2 linked regions of the Stegostoma tigrinum genome follow. The protein of the gene in region 1 binds, or shares a complex with, the protein of each later gene. Links are inferred from orthologs where the notes say so. Each region holds a gene or a part of one and is shown in the gene's direction. Other genes may lie near its edges.

Region 1 (10,720 bases):
CCCACGTCTAACCTAAACATCCCTGGGCAATTTATCATGGCCAATCCACCTAGCCTGCACAGTGGGAGGAAACAGGAGCACCCGGAGAAAACCCATGCAGACATGGGGAGAACGTGCACACTCCGCCCAAGGCTGGAATTGAACCTGGGTCCCTGGCACTGTGAGGCAGCAGTGCTAACCACTGAGCCACCGTGCTGCCCAAATGTGGCTGTCTCAGTTTGTAGTCTCTGAGCTTCAGGGCAGAGATCATCAGAAGGTTGCAGTGGGAGAGAGATTCACTGAGATCTTTCCAGAGGAAGGAGGATAACTTATTCAGGGTGGGAATCCTTGGAAGAGGCTTCGCAGTGGGTTTATAGCTCTTTCAGAGATAACAAGAACTGCAGATGTTGGAATCAGAGTCAACACAGTGTGGAGCTGAGGAACACAGCAGGTCAGGCAGCATCCGAGGGTCAGGAAAGCTGATGTTTCGAGTGTGGACCCTTCATCAGACCCAAAACATTGACTTTCCTGCTCCTCTGATGCTGCCTGACCTGCTGTGCTCCTTCAGCTCCACACTGTGTTGACCCTGACTCCAACATCTGAGGTTCTTGTTATCTCTTCTGGTTTCATTCTGCTTTCTCTTTCTGACAATTGATCCAACCGAGTGACTTAGCCAGACATTCCAGAGGGCAGTTCAGTGTCCATAGTGTATTGTAGTGTAGTCCCTACTGGGTAAGGATAGTAGACTCCTTCCCTAAGGTACATTAGCAAACTCAGCATGTTTTTACAACAGGTTTTTATCGTCATCATTGGACTTTTAATTCCATATTTTTAGTTGATTCACATTTCACCATCTGCCGTGCTAGGATTTGAGCCTTGCCCTCAAAGCATTACCTCAGTCGCATTGTCACTGGTGCGGAGGTAATCCCACTGTGTCCTCTCCAGCTCCTTTTTCTCCTCCTCCTTCTCCTTCATTTTTTTGTCCTCCTTCTCTCGCTCCCAGTGTGATTCAGTGAGTGAGAATTGGAGAGAGATTGCATGGAGGAGACACTTTGAGTGAGTGTGGATCAATGACTGTAAATAAAGGTTGTTGTCAAAATATATTGAGGCTCCTGTAAAAATGTTGAAGAGACAATAAGTCACCGCCCTGCCATCATGCTGACCTGAAGATGCAACACCCAAAGAAATTGGCAGAATATCTCAATATAATAGATTGAACTGAACCAACACTCTGTCACAACCTGAACTCTGACACAACAATAACATACTTGTCAATGGTAGTAAAGCAAAATTGTTTCTTTTATTGTAAAACATTTCCATAGGATTTCAATGTTGTGAGACTCTAACAGAGTCAGCAAAATTTATCAGTATTTATGCCGTTGTCTCTGGACAATGTGTTAGTTTTGGTAAAATTTTCATTTTATTTGTCTCATAGAATTATAGAATGACACAGCACCAAAGGAGGCCATTCAGCCCATCACGTCAGTTCCATCTCCTTATCCAATTAATCTCACTTCTCCCTGTATTAGCTTCCAAATCTGTGCATTTTTCTCCTTTTGAATGTTACTATTGAGTCTTTCTCTAACACCCTCTCAGACAGCACTTCCCAGATCACAACAGTACTGCAGGCCTAGTGCAGAATAGTAGGACAAGGCTAGATCACCCTTTGGTAACTGTCATGGACATGATGGGGTAAATGGCCTCCTTCTGTCTCATAGATTTTCTATGATTTTATAAACACACTCAGTTAAAATAGTTCTCCTCATCTCGCGTTTGTTCTTTTACCCGTAATCTTACATCAGAATCTCGCTGGTTGCTAAACAAAAAAAAACAAAAGAACTGTGGATGCTGGAAATCAGAAACAAAAGCAGAAATTGCTGTAAAAACTCAGCAGGTCTGGCAGCATCTGTGGAGAGAGAAAGCTGTGTTAATGTTCTAGGTCCAGTGAAGAAGGGTTCTGAAGAACAGTAACTGGATTTGAAACATTAACTCTGTTTCCCCACTACAAATGCTGCCAGATCTGCTGAGATTTTCCAGCAACTTCTGTTTTTGTTCCTCTCGTTCCTGACCCCCTGGTCACTGGTAATGGTTTTCTCCATATTTATTTTATCAAAATCCTTCCTCGTTTTGAACGCAGAAAACAAAAAGCAAACTCTAAAAGTCAGAAATGACACAAACTGACACCATCTTCGGATCTTCTTCTCACTATCTTTCCTATCAGTGGAACAACCCCAGTTACTCAGTCTCTCCACATTCACTGAAGTCCCTCATCCTTGGTCCCATTCGAGTAAATCTCCTCTACACCTCTAACAATGTCTTGGCATCGTTGCTAAGGTGTGGTGACCAGGATTAAACACAATTCTTTAAATGAGGTCAGGCCAGTACTGGATAAAGGTTTTCTGTAAATGCCTTCCATTTGTGCTGTACACTTCCAGGCCTAAAGGCTTACAGATTTCATTTGTCGCTTCAGCAATCTCATTCGTTACTCTGTCACTTTAAAAGATTTGTGTTTGTGAACCTCCAGGTCCCTCTGTTCTTGCACTGTCTTTAAAACTGTGCCACTTAATTTATAACCTTGAAAGCTGGAGAGATCAGAATAAATCAGCAGGTGATGTTAATGTTAACAGATCAACAATGTAACATTGTAATGGGATAATCCAGCATTGGAGACGTTAAACTTATCTGAGAATGTAAAGTTGAGGCCAATCATGCGCGATGGTTAAGAAAATATCTCCAAAAGTGGGAGATATTAAAGCTGCTTTCTCACAAGTTACAGTATTAATGGAGCATAATTATGCACACACATTGAACACACCACACTATGCTGTTGTTGAAAGTAATTCTGTATAATATAACTAAATAAAACTTGATTGGAGATGTGAAGGTCTGTGTTTGGAATTTCATTTGACATTTAACATTAGATTAAAACTGGTGATATCTTGTAGTTCACGTATTTAATTTATTATTCTGTCATATTGCACACTGGGCTAATAAATTTTCAAAAACTATATATCCTTCCTGTTACCAGGCAACAGCAACCAAATGCAATTAAACTGACATCCTGTATTTGATAGAAGGTGGTGGCCAAAAATGGCAGAAACTGTGACTTAAAATTCCTCGCCTTCGTGTTAATATATGAATCCCCTTTAGGACATATCTCAGAGTTCCAACCTCTCAAGGTTAGCATCCTGACATCAGCAGGGATCCTGGAGGAATTGTCACATCAGGAGGATCAAAGCGTGTGTGTGTGTGTGTGTGTGTGTGTGTGTGTGTGTGTGTGTGTGTGTGTGTGTGTGTGTGTGTGTGAGAAAGAGACTGGGCCTGTATGTGAGAGTGTGTGTGTGTCTGTGTGTGAGAGAGAGTGTGAGAGTGTGTGTGAGAGTTTGTCTGTCTGTGTGTGAGAGAGTTTGTGTGACTATGAATGTATGTTTGTGAGAGAGAGTGAGAGAGAGAGAGTATGTGTGTGTGTGTGTGTGTGTGTGTGTGTGTAAGAAGAGACTGTATGCACAGGCAGCCATGTGAGAGATTTGTTGGATGTATGTGCAATCTGGAATTGTGTCTGACTACAGATGCACTATGCAAGTCGGTGTGTGTTAGTAGGTGTGCGTATTTGTCAGCAGGTGCACAGTGTGTCAGAGTGTGAACATGTGGATGAGTCTCTGTATCGCTGACACAGTGTATGTGAGTGTGTTTATTTGTATGTGTGTGAGAGATAGGATGTACACGTGTGAATCTTTTAACATTCTTATGTAATCGCTTCAGCAAATTCTCTGCACGCAGCCTTCTCACCAGGAGTGGAATTCACAGCAATGCCTCCTGTTCTGCAGTGTAACTCGGGGGAGTCAGTTTGCAGTTATACTTCATTCAGAGTAAATTTACAAACACTGCACAGCCCCCAACCCACACAGGTCCCTCATTTATAACATAAGCCAATGCACTATTTATAGATGAACAGTCTTTTTTGAAAACTGAGTTAGAAGCTGGCAACAGTCCTGTGCCCAGGAGGAATATTTGGCTGAAGTCATCATAACATATGTGTAATGAGGAGAGAGGCAGGAGAGAGAGAGTAGGGATGGGGTGATGCAGAGAGAGAGAGAGAGAGAGAGAGGGAGAGAAAGAAAGAGATGGACACAGTGAAGAAAGGAAGAGCCAGAAGGGGAGAGATAGAGGACAGAGAGAGAGAGACATGGAGACAGAGAGAGAGGAGAAAGAGGAGAGGCAGAGAGGATAGAGAGTGAGAGGAGAGTCAGAGAAAAAGAGATTGCAGAAAGAGAAAGACAGACAGAGAGAGTGATGGTGGGAGACAAAGAGACTGAGAGAGAGGCAGAGAGACAGAGATGGAAAGGAAGAGAGACAAAGAGAGAGAGAGGGAGAGAAAGTGATAGAGAGAAACAGACAGGAAGAAAGAAACGAATCAGTGAAGAGACACAATCAGACAGAAAGACACAGAGAAGAGAGAGAGAGAGAGAGACTAAGAGATAACAACAAAAGTCATATAAACACAATTTTAATTTTCCAAAGATTGCGGGAATAGAATTTAGTTGTTGAGCATTCAGCTACAGTCAGTGGGAGATTCACTTCATAAAATGTGTAAAGTGTAAGAATTGTGAACAGGAGTTAGTCACTTGGCCCCTTAAGCATCCTCAGTTACGATAGCAGGTGATCTTTTACCTTAATTCTATCTATTCACCTCATACCACATTTATTCATTCGCTCATGGGATGTGGGCATTCATGGCCAGGCCAGCATTTATTGCCCATCCCTAGTTGCCCCTTGAGAATGTGGTAGTGAGCTGTGTTTTTGAACCGATGTTGTCCATGTGCTGTGGGTTGACCCACAATGCCCTTAGGGAGGGAATTCCAGGATTTTGACCCAGTAATAGTGAAGGAACGGTGAGATATTTCCAAGTCAGGATGGTGAGGGGCTTGAGGGGGAATTTGCAGGGGGTGGTGTTCCCATGTACCTGCTGCCCTTGTCCTTCTGATGGAAGTAGTTAGGGATTTGGAAGGTGCTAAGGATTTCTGGTAAATTTCTGCAGTGCATCTTGTAGACAGTACACACTGCTGCTACTGAGCGTCGGTGGTGGAGGGAGTGGGATGTTTGTGGATGTGGTGCCAATCAAGCAACTGCTTTGTCCTGGATGGTGTCAAGCTTCAACACATCCAGTCAAGTTTCATTGTTCACCCTCCAAGATTCATAGAAATGGAGAGCAAAACTGCACAGTGTAATCTAGTTGTGATCACCCCAAAATCCAATGTAATTGTGATATAAATTGCAGGCACTGGGTTATGTGGACAAGGTACAAACTGGTCACAATTGAAAACATACACCATGTGTCTCATCACCAGGCAGGTGCAATCTTTCCAATACAGAAATGCATCTTTTTTTAATTAATCCGTGGAACTATTTGGGGGAAGAGGGTGTGGTTGAATAAAGAGGGAGAGCCTGGTCATGCCTCCTCACCCAGGGATTTAGCTGTATCCCATCATGAGCCTGGGGTCTGGTCCTAACTGTGTGTAGCAAGACCCCATGAAGTAACTCTCCCCAACTCTGTCTTGAATAGTGTGCCAGGATTTTTTGGTTACTGGAGGAGGGTGATTGGTGTTCTGGCCCCAGTGACAGGGTAGGACTCCCTCAGAACTGAAATGGCAGCTGGGATTTGATTCTCAAGCTGGTTCAGAGAGGTCCAAACCAAATATGCTTGAAAAGCAGCTGCTGGAAACACAGTACTGTGAGGTGGGGCAATGTTCTTAGTCACATGATGCCCACCTAGATATGGATGTGCAGGATGGCTTTGTGCAGTTACAAACTCAAACTCAAGTCCCCAGCTCTGTGCTCCCGAGCCAATAAACTTCCACTGCGTGACCCCTGGCTGGCTCTGGGCTGGGGACCTGAAGGAGCTCAGACCCACAGTAAACATCTAGCTTCAGGTCTACTCCAGGTAAACTCGGGGACAGCATCCCCATACCCTCATAGCAACAATCCCTGACTGAAAATCTCTCCTCCCCTTTGCTTGCTTCTGTTAGTGTCGCTGGTGGTGTGGTATTGTTGAGAGTAGTGAGACCCTCTGGGTGAAGGGAAGCAGTCAGGGCAGAGGGTTGGGGGCTATCTAGATCCCACCCCCACACCCCCACACCCCCACCCTCGCTCCCCACCTGTCTCCTGGAAGACTGAGCTGGGTGCTGCGGGCGCCTCTTGCGGGAACTCTCTCCAATGTGTGTGTGTGTGTGAGAGAAGACGAAATGGAGCTGTGTCCCTGTTTCTTGCTGCTGGATTAGGTATGCGAGGCAGCACTTTTCTGTGTCCAATCATACACAAGGACTCAGTGATGCAGTAGGTTCTCACTGGAGGCTTTCCTGAGAGCTGCAGTGTCTCTCTGCTAAAGTGACGGTTACCCCCCTGTCTCCCGCAGTATAAAACCCTTCACTCTCAGCACTTGGAACCAAATCTCTGCAAAGCCTGGCCGTGAGGAGCAAACAAGAGAGAAACTGAGAGAGAGAGAGAGAGAAAAAAAAGTGCATTCCTTGTAATTTGTGTGTCTCTATTCCTCAGGCAGCCTCAGCTAAATAGATTTTCTGTTTATTTTAAACAAAATAAAGGACATCATTCCAGGTAAGAGATGTTGTGTTCCCAAGCTGTCCCCCTCTCTCTCTGTCCATGCTGAAAGTGTGACTGGCAGGAACCCTGTTGCTGGGGTTGGTTTATATTTGGGAAGGGACTATAGTCTAATGAATGCTCCCTCTCGGAATGGGAGGAACGTGTCAGCTCAGGATTGTGTTCCCTGAGCTCTATCAGGAATATCCCCTTCACCCGAATCATTGCGAGTCAGTGAGGCGGGTGACAGAGGGGAAGGAGCGGGACTATGTGTGTCCCAGAAAGTTGAGGTGGAGAAACTGTGACCAGAGGAGTGGGATTGATACTGACTGTAAACCTTTGTGTGTGTGTGTGTGTGTGTGTGTGTGTTCGTCTCTGCCACTCTCCATCAGGGAGAACGCGAAAACAAATGTCATCTTTCATTTGCTCGGTGTGTTGTTCCTGCTATTGCTGTGTTAGGGCTGTGTGTGTGTGATGAGGAAGAGATTTCCTCTGTTTCTGTCCAACACTCGCTGAATGTCTGCCCTGGTTTAGTGAGAGTCCGCCGTAGGTGGAGCATATCTCCGTTGGGTTCAGTCAGTCCGCTTACTGTGTTCATCTCGGTCAATTCCAAATCGGCAATGAATTCACAAAAGGTGTTTATCAGAAACAGCACATTGATTGCCTACTAGTTGTAATTTAATCAGTACACACACACTTTCTCTCTCTCTCTATCTCTCTCTCTCATACGCACACACACACAATCACACTGGTACACAATCTCACACACATTGACACACAATCTCATATACACACACACAGTGGACATACAATCTCCCACACACTGACACACATAGAGACACAATCTCCCTCCCACACACTGACACAGTCACACAATCTCTCAAACTGACACAGATATAGATACACAGTGACACACACAATTACACACTGATTCACACACACAGATATGCCCACATACTGACACACACACCAGCACATACATACTCACACACACAATCACACACACACACACACACACACACGCACACACACTGGCACGCACACACACAGACACTGGCACACACACAGGTATGCACAGACACTGGCACACACAGACACTGGCACACACACAGACACTGGCACACACACTGGCACACACATTGGCATACACATAGACACTGGCACACACACAGAGACACTGGCACACACTCACTGACACTGGCACACACACTGGCACACACTCACTGATAATGGCACACACTGGCACATACACACACACTGGCACACATATACAAGACGGGAACATGGAGAATGCTCAATCCTGGGAGAAGGAGCCAGGGCAAAGATGTCGGGGAATGGCCGGAAACCAGCGGCAAAGGATTTCGGCCAAGCCTGTGGGTCATCTCCGGGGAGAATCGGTTTTGCTCAGTTGCTGGGGGTATTTGTACACCTTGCCGATCCTCCCCTGGAATGGGCTGGGGACTGGGGACCGAGCTGCGGTTAATTCCCAGGGATTTAGACCGGATTCCGAACAGTGGGAGTGGAATTCCGAACAGACGGTGTGAAGGACAAGGAGTTTTCGACTTGATTTGATCTTCTGATCTCTGTGCCTGTATGCCATATCCATATTTATACACTGATTTATAACCATGTATTAATCTCCCGTGAGATGTGGAGCGCTGAGTCTGTCACCCTGAAATACAGCTGTACAGGAACAGGAGTCCCACTACTTTGGCTCCTACAGGTTGACTGGACCCAGTGAAAGAGCAGACAATTGTATCAGCAACAGCATCTTACTTTCTCCACCCGCACTGCCCCCCCCCCCATTACTGTTGGTGTTAATTTCAGCAGGAAATACAGAGTAGTTTTCCCAATGCCTCCAAACTCCAACCAGAGAACATCAGATTCCACTGAACTAGTGAGAGAGACAGAGACCGAGAGTCAGAATCTCCCCAGGTCACTGCCCTTACACGAGAAGGAATTTTCATCGTTTGATATTGGCAAATATTCTGATAGAGTGACCTGGGTAGGTCTGTCAAACATGCAGCACAGCCTCCTGAGAAACAGGGCACTATGAAGAGAGATCAGAACACATACTTCCTCTCTCAGTCACACAGTTTCTAACTGCTGCCAACTCCATCCCAGAAACTAACCCACCAGGGGCCTGAGCTCCACTCAAACACATTGTGTAGTAATTTCCATCTCCTTCAGTTTGATCCCACGCACTGAAGTCCCACAAAGATTCAGTGAAGATCCTAAATATTTTCAAAAAAATCTGTTCAGAGATGTTATTACATTCTTCTGCAGTAGATGGGACTTGGACCTGGGCCTCCCAGTTCAGTAGTAGGGGCACTACCACTGTACCAAAGAGGACCCTGAGTGAGTATCCAACGGTTCCTTTCATGGTTCATTTCACCTTGGTGCAATAACGCTGAATGAAGCATGGTGGTTTCTGGTGGGTGGTGTTGAAGATGGATGGGGGTCGAGGTGGATGGGGGTGAAGGTGGATGGGAGTTGAGCTGGATGGGATTGACGTGAATGAGGGTTGAGGTGGATGGGGTGAAGGTGGATGGGGATTGAGTTGGGCAAGGGTTGAGGTGGTTGGGGATTGAGATGGATGGGGATTAAGATGGATGGGGATTGAGATGAATGAGGGTTGAGGTGAATGAGGGTTGAGGTGAATGAGGGTTGAGGTGAATGAGGGTTGAGGTGGATGGGGATTGAGATGGATGGGGATTAAGATGGATGGGGATTGAAATGAATGAGGGTTGAGGTGAATGAGGGTTGAGGTGAATGAGGGTTGAGCTGGATGGGGTAAAGGTGGATAGCAATTGAGATGGATGAGGGTTGACGTAAATGAGGGTTGAGGTGAACGAGAGTTCTGAATCTGAACGAGGGATTGTGAATCTGAAACGAGAGATTAAGCAGGCTAAGAGAGGGCATGAGAGATTGCTGGCAAACATGGTTAAGGAAAATCCCAAAGCCTTTTATTCATATATAAAGAGCAAGAGGGTAACTAGAGAAAGGATTGGCCCACTTAAGGACAAAAAAGGAAAGTTATGCGCTGAGTCAGAGAAAATGGGTGACATTCTTAACGAGTACTTTGTTCGGTATTCACCAAGGAGAGGGATATGACGGATGCTGAGGATGGGATAGATGTTTCCTTACTCTAGGTCAAGTTGACAGAAGGAAAGAGGAAGTGTTGGGTATCCTAAAAGACATTAAGGTGGACAAATACCCAGGTCCAGATGCGATTTATCCCAGAGTACTGAGGGAAGTGAGAGAGGAAATAGCCGGGGCCTTAGGAGATATCTTTGCAGCATCCTTAGACACGGGTGATGTCCTGGAGGACTGGAGACTTGCTAATGTTGTCCCCTTGTCTAAGAAGGGTAGCAAGGATAATCCAGGTAATTATCGACCAGTGAGCCTGACGCCAGTGGTTGGGAAGCTACTGGAAAAGATATTGAGGGATAGGATCTATTCCCATTTGGAAGAAAATGGGCTTATCAGTGATAGGCAACACGGTTTTGTGCAGGGAAGGTCATGTCTTACCAACTTAATAGAATTCTTTGAGGACATGACAAAGTTGATTGATGAGGGAAAGGCTATAGAAGTCATATACATGGACTTCAGTAAGGTGTTTGATAAGGTTCCCCATGGCAGGCTGATGGGAAAAGTGCAGTCACATGGGGTCCAGGGTGTGCTAGTTAGATGGATAAAAAAACTGGCTGGGCAACAGGAGACAGGGAGCAGTAGTAGAAGGGAGTTTCTCAAATTGGGGACCTGTGACTAGTGGTGTTCCACAGGGATCTGTGCTGGGACCACTGTTGTTTGTGATATACATAAATGATTTGGAGGAAGGTGTAGGTGGTCTGATCAGCAAGTTTGCAGATGGCACTAAGATTGGTGGAGTAGCAGATAGTGAAGGGGACTGTCAGAGATTACAGCAGAATATAGATAGACTGGAGAGTTGGGCAGATAAATGGCAGATGGAGTTCAATCCGGGCAAATGCGAGGTGATGCATTTTGGAAGATCTAATTCAAGGGCGAACTATACAGTAAATGGAAAAGTCCTAGGGAAAATTGATGAACAGAGAGATCTGGGTGTTCAGGTCCATTGTTCCCTGAAGGTGATAACGCAGGTCAATAGGGTGGTCAAGAAGGCATA
Region 2 (10,853 bases), on another chromosome or scaffold:
TGATGGACTGGGCCATGTTCATAACTCTCTGTAATTTCTTGTAGTCTTGGCAGAGCAGTTGTTAAAACTAGCTGTGATGCATCCCAATAGGATGCTTTCCATGATGCAACTATAAAAATTGGTAAGAGTCAATGTGGACATGCTGAATTTCCTTCGCCTCCTGAGTAGAGGTGTTGGTATGCTTGCGTGATTGTAACGTTGTTACAGAATAGATTGTTGGTGATATTTACTATCAGGAACTCAAAAGTCTAGACCAGTTCCAACTCAGCACCATTGATACAGACAGGGGCATGTCCTCTACTCTGTTCCCTGAAGTCAGTGACAAGTTCCTTCATTTTGCTGACATCGAGGGAGAGAATGTTGTCTTTGCTTCATACCACTAAGCTTTCTATCTCTTTCCTGTACTCTGACCCACCATTGTTTAAGAAATGACACACTATTTTGTGTCATCAGCAAATTTATAAATGGAGTTTGAGTGGAATTTAGATACACAGTCATGAGTTTGTAAGGAATATAGTAAGAGGCTGAGTATCCTGATGTTCCAGGCACATGTGTAGGGTCAGGGAGATGGTGTCTGCTATGGACCTAATGCAACAGTAGGTGAACTGTAGTGGATAAAGGCAGTCGGGGAGGCTGGAATTGATGTGTTCCATGACTAACCTCTCAAAGTATTTCATAATGATCGATGTCAGAGCCACCAGGCTGTAGCCATTAAGGCATTAAGGTCCCAGAAATTGAAGTTCCTGCTGAACAAAACCTCGGCATCCGTGACCTTTGAAAATAATCCAATGACGTTGGAGAGATTGGAGCAGTACCCCCCCAATTGAAATAATAGTTATCCAGGAAATGTTAGAGAATTAAAAATAAATTCTAACTCCTGGGTAACAATTAAACTGACCCCAAATTCACTACTCATCACGCCAGGCAGCATCTGAAGGACATGAGGAGTCAATGTTTCGGGTATAACCCTTCTCCAGGACTGGATGTGGGGTGGGGGTAGCAGATTGGGTTGTGATAGGTGGGCACTGGTGGTAGGTATGAACCTGGTTGGTCAGTGGGAAGGGAGGATCAGTAGGTGGAATGGAAGGGAGGAGGTGCGGCTGGAAAGGAAACCGGGGAGATGGGTGGCATTGAGTTCTCTGGTTTCAAATAACTCAGTGAGTGAACTATCCTAAGCTGGAATTTCAGGAACACAGCTGAGAACTGCCATTACCATGACACCTTCACTGTCCAGTAGCCTTTAATTACCCTGGCACACTGCTCTGAGGAAAGGTCACTGGACCCAAAATATTAACTCTGCTTTCTCCCCACAACTGCTGCCAGAACTGCTGAGTTTCTCCAGCGATTTCTGTTTTTGACCTGAGTGCAATTATCCGTTAACCTGATATTCCATGGTCTCCTTATTTCTGCCATTCGCCTGATCTCCCAAATCCTCACTGATGCAGGATGTGGTATTGCTGTTCTCCTGCTCAGCATCCTGCGCTAACCTGGAGTTTCAGTATTTTCCTACTGTTTACACTGATCTGGGCACACATTTAAAATTTTATGGTCAATATAATCCAGACTGTTCAAACCATGTTGGTTTTTGCTCCCAGTGTGAGGTGGAATTCTCTCTTTAATCTAACACTGACCTTGTTTTAGTTCAGCCCTGGCGCTATATGCAGAGTGAGTGAGAGCCAGAGTGGCATGGAGGCACTTGGCCAGCCTCTCTCTCTTGTTATAGCGCAGTTTCCTCTTCAGTCACAGTCTGCCTCATCCTCAGGCTCCAATCTCGCTAGATTCAGAGCAGGAAATGATAAGGTATCTTCCTCACGAGCTGCTGGCAACACTATCACCCTCAACACAGAACACCAACAGCCCAGCAGGCACAACCATCACACACAGCAGGCTAGACTGTTACCCCCAGCAGGCAGCACTGTTACCCCCAGCAGGCAGCACTGTTACCCCAGCAGGCTGGACCATCATCTCCAACAGGCAGGACTGTTACCCCTCCAGCAGGCAGGAATATCACCCCCAGCAGGCAGGACCATTATCCCCAGCAGGCAGGACCATCACCTCCAGCAGGCAGGACTGTTACCCCTCCAGCAGGCAGGAATATCACCCCCATCAGGCAGGACTGTTACTCCCAGCAGGCAGGACCATTACCCCCAGCAGGCAGGACTGTTACCTCCAGCAGGCAGGACCATCACCTCCAGCAGGCAGGACTGTAACCGCCAGCAGGCAGGACTGTAACCAGGAGAGAGAACCTGCACAGCAGCACTGTTAGGCCTGACAGGAGCTCAGTTGCGAGCATCAGCCACCCCCTGCCCCTGTCTCCTGGGGTTTGCTGTTTCTATGTGACAGTAAACTGGAGCAATTTGTTGGATCCAGGCACCAGGTGATTTCAGACCTTCCGGTTGCTTCCCCATTCGGGCCGGAAGCAAGTTTCCATCGCATCTCTGTTGCTGGGAGAAGGCAGTGAGCAGCCTGAGGTAGTGCATGGTATTTGGGACTTCCAGCTGTAGGGACGTGCTGGGGTTTCATTTATTGTTTGTTTCTGTAGGTTTGCGGGTGCTGTGGCTCTCCTGCTGGGATGGTGGGATAGTCAGACACACACACAGGGGCTCCTACTGGGATGGTGGGATAGTCAGTCACACACACACACACACACACATGGGCTCCTGCTGGGATGGTGGGATAATCAGTCACACACACACATGCACTGGGGCAATGGGATGGTGGGATAGTGACACACACACTGGGGCTGCTCCCAGCCCAGTGCCCCTTTCCCGGGCTTTGTCGCTCCCCAACCTCCTGCTTCCCGGGCTCTCCCTCCACCCCCAAATCCCGGGCTCTGCCCCCACCCCCCCACCCCGCGCCCTGGGCTGTGTTCCCCCCGCACATCCAGTTAATCTCAGCCTGCTCACTGCCTGCTCCTTGGCTCTCGGTTGCAGCGTGGTCCTGGGCACCGTTCCCCCACCCCCCCCGCCAACACACACCCCGGGGGTCGGGGCTGGTGTGACTGTGAAGCTGGTCCCCGGCTGCTGTCAGTGCTCGGTACCGTCCCAAAGCCTGTTCCCTCCCGGTTAGCCACAGAGCAGGACACTGGAGGGTTATCCCTGGGCACTGTCTGACCGCCTGGGAATGACTGTGATCCCAAGAAACTTCAGAGCAGGTCCCTCTCACCACAGTGCCCGCAATCAGAGGGAAACCTCACCGGCTGGGGAGAGGGAGAGAGAGTGGGAGGGAGAGGGGGAGAGAGGGTAACAGGAGAGAGGGAGAGAGAGAGGGAGGGAGGGGGGGAGAGGGTAACAGGAGAGAGGGAGGGAGAGGGGGAGAGGGTAACAGGAGAGAGGGAGAGAGAGAGGGTAAGGGAGAGGGGGAGAGAGGGTAATAGGAGAGAGGGAGAGAGAGAGGGTAAGGGAGGGGGGAGAGAGGGTAATAGGAGAGAGGGAGAGAGAGATGGTAAGGGAGAGGGGGGAGAGAGGGTAACAGGAGAGAGGGAGAGAGAGAGGGAGGGAGAGGGGGAGAGGGTAACAGGAGAGAGGGAGAGAGAGAGGGAGGGGGGAGAGAGGGTAACAGGAGAGAGGGAGAGAGAGAGGGTAAGGGAGGGGGGAGAGAGGTTAACAAGAGAGAGGGAGAGAGAGATGGTAAGGGAGAGGGGGGAGAGAGGGTAACAGGAGAGAGGGAGAGAGGGTAGGGGAGAGGGGGGAGAGAGGGATGGGAGGAGAGAGGAGAGGGGGAGAAGGTGAGGGGGATTTGCGGGAAGAAGGGAGAGACAAGGAGGAGGGAGAGAGGGAGGGAGAGAGAGAGGGAAATGAGAGACGGGGCGGTAGGGGGGCGTGGAAAAAGAAGAGAGAGGGATGGAGAGAGAGAGGGGTGAGTGAGAGACGGGGTGGTGGGGGGGAGAGAGAGGGACGGGAGGGAGTGGGGTGGGAGGGAGAGGGGAGTGAGGGAGAGAGAGAGAGAGGGAAGTGGGGGGGGAGAGAGAGAGGAATGAGACACGGGGCGGTGGGGGTAGAGAGAGGGGAGGAAGGGAGAGGGGTGGGAGGGAGAGAGAGAGGGGAGTGAGAGACGGGGCGGTGGGGGGGAGAGAGAGGAGAGGGAGGGAGAGGGGAGGGAGAGTGAGGGGGTGAGAGAGAGAGAGAGGAGTGAGAGACGGGGCAGTGGGGGGGAGAGAGAGGGGAGTGAGACACGGGGCGGTGGGTGAGAGAGAGAGGGGAGTGAGACGGGGCAGTGGGGGGTGGAGAGAGGGGAGTGGGAGAGGGGGAGGGAGAGGGAAGTGATGGCGAGAGGAGAGTGGGGGGGGAGAGAGAGAGGAGTGAGAGAGGGCGCGGTGAGGTGGGAGAGAGGGGAGGGAGGGAGAGGGGTGGGAGAGAGAGGGGAGTGAGAGAGGGCGCGGTGGGTGGGAGAGAGATGGGAGTGAGAGAGCGCGGTGGGGTGGGAGAGAGAGGGGAGTGAGAGACCGGGCGCGGTGGGGTGGGAGAGAGAGGGAAGTGAGAGATGGGGCGGTGGGGTGGGAGAGAGGGGAGGGAGGGAGAGAGAGAGAGGGAAGTGAGAGAGGGCGGTGGGGTGGGAGAGAGAGGGGAATGAGAGAGGGAGCGGTGGGGTGAGAGAGAGAGGGGAGTGAGAAGGGGCGACGGGGTGGGAGAGAGAGGGGAGTGAGGGGGGGGGCGGTGGGGTGGGAGAGAGAGGGGAGGGAGAGATGGGGCGGTGGGGTGGGAGAGAGGGGAGGGAGGGAGAGAGAGAGAGGGAAGTGAGAGAGGGCGGTGGGGTGGGAGAGAGAGGGGAATGAGAGAGGGAGCGGTGGGGTGAGAGAGAGAGGGGAGTGCGAGACGGGGCGGTGGGGCGGGAGAGAGAGGGGAGTGAGAGAGGGGGCGGTGCGTGGGAGAGAGATGGGAGTGAGAGGGGACGGTGGGGTGGCAGAGAGAGGGGAGTGAGAGAGGGGGCGGTGGGGTGGGAGAGAGAGGGGAGTGAGAGAGGGGACGGTGAGTGGGAGAGAGAGGGGAGTGAGAGAGGCGGCTGTGTGGGGGAGAGAGAGGGGACTGAGGGGGGGCGGTGGGGCGGGAGAGAGAGGGGAGTGAGAGAGGGGGTGGTGGGTGGGAGAGAGAGGGGAGTGAGAGAGGGCGCGGTGTGGGGGAGAGAGGGGAGTGAGAGAGGGTGTGTTGGGGTGGGAGAGAGAGGGGACTGAGAGAGGGGAGGGAGGGAGAGAGAGAGAGGGGAGTGAGAGAGGGGAGGGAGGGAGAGAGAGAGGGGAGGAGAGAGGGGGCCGTGGGATGGTGATGCGGTGGGGGGAGCTGGCTGGCCTGGTTGCAGATGGAATAGCGAGGAGACTATCTCCTAAGGGAACAGCAGGCAGTAATGGATGTGGAGTGGGGGGATGAATTTGCTGAGTAGGGAGATGTGTGTGTGCGGATTGGCGCAGGGAGGGAGGGATGGAGCGGGGGGGTGGGGGAGCTATTTTTAGAGAGAGTGCAGAGCTGGAATGTGTTAGTGCTGCTGAGGAAGGGGACGTGCTGGAGCCCGAGCTGGAGCTGTTCGTTCAGCACCTTCTCACACACACTCTCTTTCTCAGTCTCTGTCAGCCTGGTAACCAGCAGGAGCCGGTAAGCAATTCCAACCTCCTCTGTATCGCTAGCTCAGCTACAGGAGCATTTGCTGCCGAGGAAAGGGCCAGGAGCATGGTGTTGCCAGTTTGATGTGTTAGTGAGGGGGGGAGATTCGGACTACAGTGCGGCTGGAATCTCCGTTTCCTGGGCATTCGGTTCAGGAGCCTGGCTCAGAGTTCCCGCAACATGCACCGTGACTGTGTGTCGGAATTCAGGGGGCACCTTCCTGAAGGTGATCCCCGCCAACCCGGGGGCACAGATTGCGATAAGGAAATGGGTTTATTGTGAACAGCTGAGAGAGGCGGTTTGCCATTTGACAGAATCCGGAACCAGAGAGGGAACGGAGAGAGAGACAGAGACAGAGAGCCAGGCTCTCTCTCTGTAGGCAGTAAAACGGGATAGGCTGTGGGAACTAGCAAAACGCGATGCGGGTTTAGTGGCCGCGGTGTTTAATGCGACCCACGGCGACCTTGAGTTTATTGAAAGTCAGCAGTGTTCTCTCACAGTGCTGCCCGTGTTACAACAGGCAAGTGATCAGCGCGCACACACACGCACAGTGCACAGGATACACACTGTCCTGTACACACACTGCCCTGTATATACACACACAACACGGTTCTGTACACGCACAGCACAGGCTTGTACACTCACAGCATGGTCCTGTACACACATGGCACTGCCCTGTACACACATAGCGCTGGCCTGTATATGCACACACAGCAATATCTTGTACACACACAGAGCACTATCCTGTACACACAGCACTGCCCTGCACACGCACACAGCACTGTCCTGCACACGCACACAGCACTGTCCTGCACACGCACACAGCACTGCCCTGCATACGCACACAACACTGTCCTGCACACACTGGGCATTGTCCTGTATGCATACAGCACTGTCCTGTACACACACAGAGCACTGTCCTGTACACACACAGAGCACTGTCCTGTACACACATCCAGTACTGTCCTGTACACACACAGCACTGTCCTGTACACACATCCAGCACTGGCCTGTACACACACCCAGCACTGTCCTGTACACACACCCAGTACTGTCCTCTACACACACCCAGCACTGTCCTGTACACACACCCAGTACTGTCCTGTACACACACCCAGTACTGTCCTGTACATACACACAGCACTGTCCTGTACACACACAGCACTGTCCTGTACATACACACAGCGCTGTCCTGTACACACACCCAGTACTGTCCTCTACACACACCCAGCACTGTCCTGTACACACACCCAGTACTGTCCTGTACACACACACAGCACAGTCCTGTACACACAGGGCATTGTCCTGTACACACACACTACTGTCCTGTACACTAGCCACAAGGAAAGCTATTTCCACATTGACCCAGAATCTTGAACCTGAAAGTACCCTATACAGAATCATTTCCTTCCAGTCAGCAAATAATTTCACCCAGCAATTTTCTTTCGAGATAGTTTCGGAGTTTCCACCGGCAAACCAGTGGCACGGAGCCCTTTCAATTAATCAGTCCCCGCGGATGAGAAATTAGCAAACGCGATAGCAATTTGGCACAACAGAGTGGAAAGTAATTGCTGTCCGGGGGAGGAACTGCAGTTATATGAGACCGTGCAGGATTGACCCTGAACGGCCAGAAGCCCGGAGGTAAGCCCGGAAAGTATGGACAGAAAGGGAAAGTATGAACTTCCGATAATTCCTAACTATATGTCAGCAACAGTAACACCGCAGGCAGCTTCTCATCTACTACTCTCCCATTCAATAAAAAATCTTCCGAAAGTGACAGTACATATGCACGAAATCGCGGAGACGGAGTAGAAAACAGGTATCGCAGCCATCAGTTATTCCTCAGCATTCAGAGCTCAGATTAGTCTCCGGATTACTCACATCACAAAGCAGGCAGGATCATTCCCCAACCAATGCTACTGAGATTGGGGGAAAAAAACTCTCCGATTGTCACACTGGAGGGAGACAGTCAGAAAACAGGAATCTTCCCCCATTCTCACTATGTCACAAGTTACAGACACCAGGTTATAGTCCAACAGGTTTACTTGAAATCGCAAGCTTTCGGAGGGCAGCCCCTTCGTCAGGTGAACCCTGAAAGTATGTGTTTTCAAATAAACCTGTCAGACTATAACCTGGTGTCTGTGACTTCTGGTCTTGTCCGCCTCAGTCCAACACCGGCACTTTCACATCAATCTCACAACGGAGAGAGACAGTCTCATTTTCCAAAAGCTAGTGTAATTAAAAAGAACTCCAAGTCCTCACTTTTATATGAGAGCGCCTTTTCAGTTAACCACGTTCCCACAAAGCCCGCAGCCCAGTGATTACTAGCTCCCTACATTTATACAATCAATTAATTAGCTCTTCATTTGTATATGCATTACTTCTCATTTTATTAGGTCTCAGGCAATCCTAGATTATAACAGTACCTAAAGCTACTGGAGAAATTCAGCAGGTCAGACAGCATCAATGGAGAGAAAGCAGAGTTGTTTTGGTCCCTTCCTCATTGAGTCCCTTCCTCACTGAACTTGTAACGTTAACTGCATTTATTAGTATATGCTGTCAAACCTGCTGAGTTTCTCCAATAATTTATGTTTTTGTTTCAGATCTTCAGCATCTGCAGTTCTTTGATTTATTTTAGACGATAACAGATATACTTTTTCTTCTTAGATAATTCAATCTATAAGAATAGGAAAAAAAACACCAAAATGATGACAGATTATATTCAGAGATAGCAAGAACTGCAGATGCTGGAGAATCTGAGATAACAAGGTGTAGAGCTGGATGAACACAGCAGGCCAAGCAGCATCAATGGAGCAGGAAAGCTGATGTTCTTGGATCTGGATCTTTCTTCAGAAAAGGTTATATTCCCATTTTTTTTCTTTGCATATTAAAATTCCAAGTGACCTTTTCTGGTATGCCCAACAGTTTCTCTGAAATTGTTGCTTTCTTAGTAAAATAACCAGATCACTGACTGTTGTTTTTCACCTATTTCAATTTGGACATTTCTCCATTCTTCACCATTTGCTATACTGATCCTCAGCCTTTTTCTCAATGTTGAGTTTACATTATTCCGCAGTGATTTATTATCGATACAGCGCTCATTGGGTATTGTTGCTGAATCCCTATTTGATTTTCTTTCAATATTTTTGATAAGGAAAATACAATTTCTACCACCTCACCAAGAGTTAAAGCCTGTACCATTAATGTACTTTTTACTCTTTTCCAATCTTTTTAGCTTCCCAAGCTAAAGTGTAACATTTACCTCCCTTTCCTACAAGAAAGATTTTGAACCTTTCTGCATGTGGAAACCAATCACAGAGATTTGCTTAAGGAACATCACTAAAAGCAAGTTTTGTGCTCCTGGCATCTCCCATTAATAGAATGTTTAAAACACTATGTTCCATTTTTAATTTTTTCAATGGATTGTTGCCTAAATGATATCTTCTGCCTTGGGAGTTCTCATAGTTTTACTCAACTCTAATACTTTAAAATTAGCATCTTGCCTTATTTAAGTGCCAGCTAATATATCTGTCCAATGACCCTTCACAATTCCTCCACTTCGGCTTTGGAAGCTACTGTATCTTTTCGTGAAACCCTATTTTGACAAATAGCAATGGCTAAACATTTTCCAAATAAGATTGCTGTTGAAAAATGACATTGATCTATGTTGCTGCATTTCCATTCCAGTATCTGACTTCTAATTTTGAATTCTGCTTTAATTCCATTCATGACAATGTTTTTGAATTCACTGCTCTTACTCCATAAAACATCATGTAAATGCAGCATAAAAATGCTTGAAAGCTGTCCTTTATAATGCCAGTAAAACATGGCAGGGCCTTCTTTTAACTGAAGATAACCCAATTTTAATAAAACATACCTTTCTGAGAAGCAACAAACTCTAGAAGCATCATTCATGTGCACTTTGATTTAACTTACAAAGTGCCTCATTGCAAATGTGCCTTTTTAAGAGATAAAGAAACACTTCCCTCTTAAGTTGTTGTCCCTGTAGCTTTAATAGATTGATCACTCTCCCAAGCATTCATAACTACTAAGCCAAAAATTTATTTTTTATCCTATCAGTGAATCTACCCTAGTATCCTGATCCTTCATTTTTCTTCAAAACCTTGTGTCACCAGCCTTGCTTCAGCCTCATAAGTTCCATTAAAGGACATCTTTTCAATTCATACCCACTATTCTGTTGGAGCTCGTTGTGTCCCTGCTGGCACCTCTATGCATACATGTACATTCAAATACTCCGAAAAAGTAAAATCAATTGCAGTCTCTTCCCAAGATAGGAGCTGAACATTTATTATTGATGTAACTTTAGGGTTCTTGCTAAAACTATCTGCTGTGAAAAATATCTTCCAACCATCTGCAATGAATTCCTAGCATGAGCAGCCCACACTAGTGGAGGTGATAATTTAAGGTTTTGCTGATCTAACAAAATCTTATGAACTATTTTGTCTATTACTGCATGGTTCCTTTCATGTAACCCATTGCTAAAATCTGATGCCATATTCATAACCGTTACATTTATATTAACCCATATATCTCCAAATTCATCATTCGCAGACTCTGTCTCCCCACCATTATCATTGAGAAATTTTGCCAGTTATGCAAGTCCAGTACCCGTCCGCTTTTCCATTCACTTATCCATAGTTATTTTCTTGACATTAATGTGAATTGAAAATTTTTTTTTCTTTATCCCATTTCCCCTTCTTTAAATCCATGGCTGACTGAAATCTCTTGATAAGGGCAGATTTATTATCAGCTATGATGGTGTTCTTTGTATTTCTTACAAATCTCACATCTATCACATCTCTTTTATGAACTTATTGTACTGTCCATCCTTAATCATGCATCCTTTACAAAAAGTTTTAATCTTTTAGAAGATGGATGAGAAAATTGCCTAAGTAATTTTAACATAATTGACATTTTGTCTTCTAAATCTTTACCCTAATTTCTTCTTAACCTGCTATCATTAACATCTCTTTAATTCCTTTCATGGAAATGTTATATTTCATTAAAGGAATATAATATTGTCCTGATTGTGGAAATTGCAAATTCAAATTTTCCTGATATTGCTGGCTTCCATTTTCCGTTTCAACTGCGCATTCTTCATTGCTGGTTTGCTGAATAAAAAAGGTATTTCATTGGACACTATATCTAATAAAAGTATTGATTCTGGTTATTTTGCAAGGAATAACCACTCTTTTCAAAGATTTAAGTGTGTCATCATTCCCAAATCTGAAATGGTAG

What was found. The genes of interacting proteins can lie anywhere in the genome.
Region 2: the proteins of syt1a (region 1) and complexin-1 are in contact, whole or in part, in a crystal structure (PDB 5W5C), measured with the Rattus norvegicus proteins. The link is inferred for Stegostoma tigrinum from reciprocal best matches to the Homo sapiens genes SYT1 and CPLX1. Residues at the interface, in NP_001028852.2 of Rattus norvegicus: Glu271, Thr383, Gly384, Glu386, Thr406, Leu407, Gln408, Glu412, Met416; in NP_074055.1 of Rattus norvegicus: Val61, Met62, Gly65, Asp68, Lys69, Tyr70, Lys74.

The regions. Positions count from the first base shown.
Region 1 is NC_081371.1:61,646,419-61,657,138, reverse strand, and holds the start of syt1a (synaptotagmin-1a), read left to right. Parts: upstream 1-6,359; 5' UTR 6,360-6,591; intron 6,592-10,720. UniProt on the Homo sapiens protein: Calcium sensor that participates in triggering neurotransmitter release at the synapse. May have a regulatory role in the membrane interactions during trafficking of synaptic vesicles at the active zone of the synapse.
Region 2 is NC_081354.1:989,135-999,987, reverse strand, and holds the start of complexin-1, read left to right. Parts: upstream 1-5,462; 5' UTR 5,463-5,585; intron 5,586-10,853. UniProt on the Homo sapiens protein: Positively regulates a late step in exocytosis of various cytoplasmic vesicles, such as synaptic vesicles and other secretory vesicles.